Drosophila melanogaster: one gene and its partner. The protein of the gene in region 2 purifies or fractionates together with the protein of the main gene of each other region. This does not show direct contact. Each region holds a gene or a part of one and is shown on either strand. Other genes may lie near its edges.

Region 1 (3,795 bases), 1.9 Mb from region 2:
ACTATAGCATTCTCTCTTATTTTTATTTATACCACTTTTTTTAAATCTTTTTTGTGTCGCTTCTTTTGACCCGTTTCCTTTGGCCACTTTCCCTTCGGCTGCCGCACACAAGTTTTTCATTTGTAATTCAAGATGTCAGTCAGCTGGGAGAACCAAAACTTAATTAAAGTTCCGCACTTCTACAGAGCCAATTCCTTACTTATCCCGACTGTCTCTCTCGCTTTTCCGTATGTATTTAGCCATTCCCAGAAAGTCCGCCCATTTCGTTTAAATTCAAAGTGTCTGTCCAGCTCGCCAGGTAAGGTGGTTTATCTTTCAGGTGCAAGTTTCGCCTGCCGCACCTGCAGCAAATGTCCGGACCTGCGACTTTGTTAGCCTCGCCTGCGGATACGGGTCTCCCTCCCCCTTTTCCAGCTCCTTTGCTGCAAATGCGTTTTCCCGAGCATGTGTGAGCGTAATTTTATGAGCTTATTTCATACTTTTCACTTCTAATTTGGCTCCGCGCTAGTTGCCATGTGCAGATTTCGACTTGTTGAGTTCTCCTTGTCGTGGTGCTTTCATTTTCATTGCATGATATCGGTTTCACTTACGGCTCACCATATAGAACATCTAATTTAATTAGCTGACACCAACGGGTGTTCCGACTTATTCTCTTGCTCGCTCTCCATTTTCCAACATCTGTTGTGGGGGGAAAAGTGGGAGAGCCGAAGGAAAAGCTGCAGGAAAAGTAGAATGTCTCATTATGTATGCATTGAGTTTCCAGTGTCCGTTGGCAGCGACAGAAAAACTTTTTGATAACTGTAATTAGCATATGAAGAAAATCAGACTCGGATAGTTTTCTTTGGAACTCAGGCAGGTGGAAAGCTGTTAAATGTATTCCAGTCCAATTAGGAATCCGCCTGCTGAACTGGCGTAGTAATTAAAGCAGTAAAGTTAAATCAGCATGGTAAGTTTTTCGTTTTAAAGTTATCCAATGTAATTTGATAAACACAAATGCTATTTAATTTAATAAAATGATTTATCAATGATAAAAGTAACCAAATTTGTAATGTAATGCTTACATTTTGGTCTATTGAAAGATAATTATAAATATATGATTATTATATAATCAAAACCAGATATATGATATATGTATATACCGGCCATAGGAACAGTCGGATAAGTTATTCATATGCATAGTTTATTCGGTAAGCTTTATTAAATATGTTCAATATACTTATATTACAACTTTAAACAAGTCTATGCAAATAATAAAAATCAGATATTATACATAAGAAAGTGCGATGGAGATTAAATGGCATATCTGTGCTGATTAACTTTTTTTTAGGTTGCCCATAGTCTCCAATTAAATTACTTCCCTAGACCCATAATCAATTCTACCGTTCCTTGGTTTATCTCCCTCATTCAATCTTCCTGTTCTTCCCTTTCTGCATACATTAGCGCTTTCAATCGCCTTCTGGGCCATTTCTTTCCGATTGAAATCCGCCAAAATCTCTCTTGGCCTAGGCTATCACCACCATCAATTCGCGTTGCATCTATAAATAGCATCTTGTTGCACTGTCCGTATCCGTGGGATTCGCGAGTGAGCCGTGGGATTACCGACGTATTGCCTTCCATTGGCCGCAGACCAGAAATGCGAGAGGTGGCCAATGTCAATGCCATGGCCATGGGCGCATATGGCCAAATGCAAATGCGAAACCGAAACAGAAACAGAATCGAAATCGCAATCGGAAGCAAAGAGCCAAAAAGCGATGGAGGAGAAGCACTACAAAATAATCCAACGGTCGCCGCAAGAGAAACACTTCCCATTTCTTCCGGCCGCAAAGAGAGGTGCCCGGGCGGTGATTAAATCAGTTAAGAGCCATTGGCCATTGCAGCCAGGTCTCCTCTACCCGGAGCCAAATCCCCCTGGTCATCGCAATCAACCCATTCCCCTCTCCCATTGCCGCCCAAATTCATTGGCGCCTTTCCCTTCCGCCTTTGGCTGTTGCGCATTTTGTGTTTTGCTCTCAACGTTCATTTTGGCCTTCTTTTTCTGGCCAAATGATTTAATTTCATGTATTTCGCTGTGCGGCAATGGCGATGCTTATTAGTTGCAATTTGCCAGCTCTGGCATAAGTTTACTCTAGCCAAAGCCAACAGCAAGCACCGCAAACTAAACCAAATAAATAAAATAATTGCCTTCCCAAGAAGTTGATAGAATGGGCAAAAATAAGGGTGGTGGCGGCGGCGGTGGAGGAGGAGGTGGCGGTGGTGGAGGCGGGGGCAATGTAAGCAATATTTGTGTTATGCAACTTGCGTTCTAATTGTGAGTCTAACTACTTGTAATCCTCATCTTAGTGCCAGCTCATTCAGCTCATGGTCCCACCAAACTTCCAAGTAGCAATTTAACAATATTTAACTTTATCCCTACTTTCCAACAATTTTAAAATAATTCGTTGACCAACTTTCTAAACATAAATTTATAAAAGCATTGCCAAATTAAAAAAAAAAACTTTAGTGCACTAGAACTATTAACTTTGAGATTAAGCCTTGCATACAGTTTTTTAGGAAGGTGTTTCGTGCTACCTGTATTAATACGTTATTGTAGACCACAAATAATGGTTAGATTACATTTTATCATGCGGATAATAGCTGCTGCTGTATGTAATTAGAGAACTCCTGGTGCTTTGGAACAAGGGTCCCCCCATTGCAATCCTGGCACAACTAACCTTTTTCTCATTTACTGACTTCGCTGGGCAACCTTAAACAACCGTGGCTCGTTATTTGCTCGGTCCCAGCTCAAAGCGAAATCTTTCCGTGTTTCTTTGCCCACAGAAAAAGGGCGGCGGTGGTGGCGGAGGCGGCGGCGGAGGTGGCTCCGGAAATAAAAACAAAGGCGGCGATGGAGGCGGCGGTGACAAAGGTGGAGCCAAGAAAGGACAAGACCAAAAGGCAGCCGCAGGCGGTGGCAAGAAGGGAGGCAAGAAATAGCAACCGTGGCAACATCAAAGCGCATTAAAAATTACAAATTTAGAGTTAAGTTGAAATTAAAAGTGATATCAGGGTGTATATACGAGTATCTCTATAATGTATGTGACTTTCTTACAATTTACTGGGCGCTGCCCGCCTCTTCTACTACAAGTACGTTCGGATATATTTATGTAGGTTAAGCTTAACAATAGAAGAGCATCCCATCCGCATTCCGCTCGAATGCACTTCACAGGCCACTTGATTTGAATCCTCTAGCGAAACCACTCCTGGGACATCCCAAAGAAGGAAGCTGCGCTCGATTTGGATTTGCTGCTGTCTCCCTTGCGGGCTCCATTGCCACCCGACTTCCTCGTCGGCGTCGTTGTCGCCGTCTGAGATAGAGGGATAAAATGGGAGATGTTATTAATTAATTAGTACTATTAATTGGTAGTTTGTCTGATTAATCTGTTAATTTGCCGCTGGACTCTCAGATTTATAGCGAGCAGCGAACAGCAACAAATGGAAAGCAAACATAATTAGAGAACGATTTATACCGGCGGAGATCGCAGCTAATTACAAAACATGCGAGTAACGGCCAAGTAGCCACTGCCATAAATTAACATTTGCCCAGCGATTTGATTTCAATAATTGCAGCGATTCATTAATTACCATCTAAGGCACTCGTATACGCGCCCGTAATATATACATAATCATTCTGCCGATGTTCTGGCCATCCACTTGGAAATTTCGGGTTGGGTTTCAAGCGAAACTTTTGCCAACCACTTGCGGACGAAGTAGGGAGGAGTGGTTGGGAAATGGCGGCAGAAAGTTGCACCTAATTAA
Region 2 (4,929 bases):
CGACGAGGGTATTTTCGTCCTTTCTCGGCAGGATTCGTCACTGGCGATGGTTGTAAGTGTTCTCCTGCATTTCCTGCATCTGCTTCGTTTCTTTTGTTGCACATATTTTCCATCTTTCTCCGCCTTTCACCTCCGAAGGAAATCACTCTGCTGACACACAGAGAAAACACAAGAAGAGATGGTAAATAATGATGGGAGGAGGATGGTAAGGAATGGAATGCAATGGAATCCCTCACTCAGGTAAAACCAACGATTTCCGTGGACCTTTCTGGACGAATCTTCCCTGAGGTCATGAGCGCCCATTTGTAAATTACTTTATGGTGCAATAAAAGTCGCTTGCCTGAATTGCCGACCGATTCCCAACGCAAAGTAACATCCTTAAACACACAGGATGATCCAGGGTCGTAAATCGTTTTCAAATCTCTCGGTTTAGCGGGAAGTAAATCGGCAGATTCTCCGGGTTATTTCATTCATTAACTGCATGTGTTTCAAGAAATCAGATTTGCCAAATGTTTATTTTTAGCCTGGAAGTCCATTTGCTGAGACTGTGAGGGTTTTTTGGGGCAATTAGTTGGTTTGGTGAGGCATCTTACGATTTTTACGAATTACACAAGCTCCATAACTTCTTTGTTCATTAACTTAATTGCCATACAAACAAACAGTTGGCTTCATGGAGATTTACATTTTCTTATAGAAAGAAGAAAGGGAGAGAAGCCAATGCATTTCTTCAAAATGCAAATGACATGTGGACACATAATAAGTTGTATTTAAATTAGTCTATATCTTACTTTGCATAGTTTCAAGTATCTTTTTGGTATTACACGATTTAGGCGCTCTGAAGTTTTATATGGGTAATAGCAACTGCCCCCAGACTAGTGTTTGTACCAATATGTGTATGGGTGTGTGTGCGCTGGGGCCGTGAGAAAATCTATGCGGCATACAGCTGGGCGCTCATATTCGGCAGCAGAGCGAAATGCAGACAAGTGGCAGTCCTCCCACAATCCTTGTGCGCCCATCTCTTTCCCACCTACTGCGCATTTTGGGGTAGGTGTGCCGCCACCCACTGAAATCGCCCCATTTGAAAGGCCCCAGTGGAAAGCGCGTTGAACTTTGAAGTTGTTCTTTGTTGGCTTTTTGCTTTGATTTTTGTTTCACTAATTTCTTTCTTTGCTGCCATGTTGCTGCAACAAAGGTTGCCGAAACCTCGGAGACGAAAGAGAACAGTGCGAAAGAGATGGAGAAGGTGGGAGAAAAGCTTTTGATGTGGGAATTATTGTCGACTGTTGCTTTTTGGTTTTCTTTTGTTCTCGCACTTACACAAGCGTACAAGATGAAACGATTTATTTTGTTTGCTTTTCTTTGTTCCCCTTCGCACACGCACACGCTTACTGGGAATTCGCAACACTTGTAGATTGTGCGTGCGTGCGTGTGTGGAGTTTTGCATGTTGCAAGTAACAGGCGCACGTGTTTTCCCAAGTCCGTTCGTTTGATTTTCTATTGAAAATGTGCAAACTTTGCTGGAGGTCAGTTCCTCTGACGGACTGACAATTTAGGCGGTCAGTTTAGCCCAAACTTCAAAGCCATACCCCCACTTTCTGGCCCAAAATCATTAGCCACTTGGTTGGACTGTGACTAAAACAGATGAAAACCGAGAGATTCGAGGTGAACGCTTGGCCTTCAAAAAGTTTAAAACGCAAAAGCCGAAGAAGAGGCCACCAGACGAAAAACTCAGCGAACCGGCGGAGAAACACACTAAAGTACTCAGCGCATATTGGCGGCCAAGGAAATAGGACTGCAAATTTATTAACCTGTGCTAAACTGTAGAATGTGATAACGTAACTCTACAGTGAATACTCGACCAGAGAAACTCTCTAACATTATACAAGTAAATTTATGCCGAAGAAATAATCCTTTTAGTTAAAAAAAAATCTTTGGTACCTTCTCCTCTCATACTGTGTTATATTATAGAGTTACTCTTTGAAAATGAAGATAAGAAATTCTTAAACCTTATAAATTGCAAGAAATAATATATTATAAGGTGTGCTATTGTTTCATCCGCCGCTGTGTGTGACAGAAAATAAATAAGCCAAATAATTGCGAATGGCTACAACAAAAGAAAGACTTGTGCTGTGTGCGCCAAAGTAAAATACTCCAAGTGTCTTAATAATACAAGTAGAATAATACAGGCAATCCCCTCCCGTGAAAAGTGAATTGATGTCCACAATTAAGTGCAAATAACAGTCGCTTAACAGAGGTGAATTCTGCGGCTAGCCGAGTTAGTAACCCCCAAAATAAACAGCAGACTTCCTCAAACGCAATGGTACTATACTTCCATTATTTTTTATCGGCGCTCCGCTGTTCCGGTTGTAATTAATCATCAATTTTTTGGGCGAAAAAGAAATTTTTCAAAGTTTAACGATCAAATGTAAACACAGACACACACACACACAAACGTTAAACGCGGCGAGGGCGAATTGGCGAGTCAACAACACAGCTTTGGAGCGAGCGAGGCGGGGAATATTTGGCCGCAGGGGCGAGCGAGATGGCGAGTGGAACCAAAGTTTCGCCGCCAAACTGTTCTTGGTGGTGGGTTTTGCTCTTCATGTCGGTATGGGAACAGTTGGGGTGTGGGGAACGTGGAGACCGAACGTTAAATTCAAAAATTGCGCCTGTCTGTGTCTCGGCACATGCGAGTGTATGGGTGCGTGTGGCCGGCCGGCGAAATGTTCGCGAAAAGTTATTATTCTCGCTTAGCTCGCCTTTTTTGTTTCAACTCACCGCATATTTGCTGAAGAATCCCTCATGTATGCCGCTCGAATAATCCTCTAGTTCGAACATGTTGAATCTTTTATGTTTTTAGCATGCACTTTGTTTTGATCGATGTTTCCGCCTGGCGAAGATTTCACCGGAATATCGTCCGCCTCTCTGCTTCTTACTGCCAATTCCAATTAACGGTTCTATTTCGAAACAGCGCACAAAAAATATATTCAGTCTCAACACCGTTGTTCCTTGGCAATCCAAGCCGTGATCTCTGCACTTTTCAAATTCTACTTCCAGCAAAAGGACATGGCGCTCGCGCTCAATATATCGCAGTTATCAGGAGCGCACAACACCGGTCTCGTATTCGAAGTCGCGGAGCAATGATAAAATAAACCCGCCCGGTCAGAATTCGAACGAAAAATGAGAGCGCCCGAGACTGGAGTGACCGTACCTCCGTTTTTGGAAAACGTTGACAATACACGGCACCGCAACCAGTGGCAGGTTGGGAGCTCGGGTAACCATTTAGCCGGGAAACGAACCCTGCGTGTAACGGCTTTTTAAAAGGTAACCTCACTGTTCGGCATTCTTTGTTATTAGGTATTCTTAATTATTTATATTTATATTTTTGCTTATAAAAGCAACTAAAATCAATTTTGAACTTTAAAAACAAAAACAATTAACGCAACGTGATACAAATTATTCGGCTTGATGTTCGATGTGATCTTTTCCAGCTTTTTGAATGTCATTACACTTTTTGGACTTGTGCTCCCTTGTCGACTTCTTTAGGCTTGGTTTCATATTTGGATTTGCCTAAAATTGGAATTTTATAAATACTAATATTATTAGTATCTGTATCTTCATTTTACATTATCGTTTGTCGCTGCTTCTGGAGTTTTGGAAGCCAGTAGTTTTTTATCCTTCTTTAATGTGCTTGTTTTCTAAATATATTATATATTTTATAATATTTTAATATATGCATATCTTTTGATATTTCTTACTTCATTTTCATTCGAATTTTGTGCCTGCAGTTGCTTCCCATCCTTCCTTTTTGTTCCTGTTTTCTAAATATTTTATATTTTGTAATGTTTGAACAAATATTTTTATATCTTTGGATATTTCTTACTTCATTTTCGATAGATTCTTGTGCGTCTAGAAGATTTGCAGCCACCTTGACACACTGACGTGCAGCCGGAAGTTTCTTCACATTTTTCTTGGGCACAGGAGGTCCTTCTTCATTCATTTCATTAGATGCTTGTTCCTCCAAAAGATTTGCAGCCGCGTCGGCGCACGGAAGTGCAGCCTGCAGTTTCTTAACATTCTTCTTGGGTGCAGGAGTTTCTTTGGACCTCGCTGCTTCTGTATTTTGGACTGTGGAACTCAATTTGGAATCCAGTTGCTTTCCATCCTTCCTTTGGGTTCCTGTGTTCTAAATATTTTATATTTTGTAATGTTTGAACAAATATTTATATATCTTTGGATATTTCTTACTTCATTTTCGTTAGGTTCTTGTGCGTCTAGAAGATTTGCAGCCACCTTGACACACTGACGTGCAGTCGGCAATTTCTTAACATTCTTCTTGGGCACAGGAGGTCCTTTGGTCCTCGAAGATTCTGCTAGGATGTTCTGGTCAGATAAGGTCAGCACTTGGTTCTGCTTCTTCGTAGCTGCACTGCGAGTAACCACCATTTTCGGTTCAAAGCTAACGTAGAAAATTCAAAAAATCAAGATAATGGAAATTTGGTGTAGATTCAAGCGAAGTGCAATAAGATGTGGGAATTTCAGTAAAAAGGTAAATAGGTTATTTGGTTAGTGGCGCGACACTAGACAACCAGGCTACTTCCAAACACGAAGTCACAAATTTAAAAATATCTGAAATATTTTTCCCAAAGATATATAACCACTTAATAAACTTATAATAACCACTTAAGTTCAGTCGCAGGAAATAAAGCCCTTAGCTTGCAGTTCATTTATTAAAAATTATAATATTATATATTATAATTATAAAAATTATATATATATATATAGTGACGTATTTGGGTGGTCCAAACCAGCCACTTCCATTATTTCAAAGAAATCAGTAATGCACTCTAGTAATTTTCCATAACGTATCCCAGCTGCGCAGCATTCGTTTATCTTTGGCAGCGCAGCCGTTCTTGTAAACATCCTAAA

What was found.
Region 1: the proteins of jumu (region 2) and CG14742 purify together in Drosophila melanogaster (affinity purification with mass spectrometry, with the first as the bait; one large-scale study listed by BioGRID). This does not show direct contact.

The regions. Positions count from the first base shown.
Region 1 is NT_033777.3:12,212,610-12,216,404, forward strand, and holds CG14742 (uncharacterized protein), read left to right. Parts: upstream 1-1,891; 5' UTR 1,892-2,201; coding exon 2,202-2,270; exon of another isoform or gene 2,271-2,817; coding exon 2,818-2,973; 3' UTR 2,974-3,050; downstream 3,051-3,795. Other genes in the region: Cog1 (component of oligomeric golgi complex 1), read right to left, coding at 3,225-3,344.
Region 2 is NT_033777.3:10,348,437-10,353,365, reverse strand, and holds the start of jumu (jumeau), read right to left. Parts: upstream 3,185-4,929; 5' UTR 2,839-3,184; coding exon 2,779-2,838; intron 1-2,778. Other genes in the region: CG31406 (uncharacterized protein), read right to left, coding at 3,457-3,570, 3,627-3,698, 3,759-3,821, 3,884-4,186, 4,249-4,446.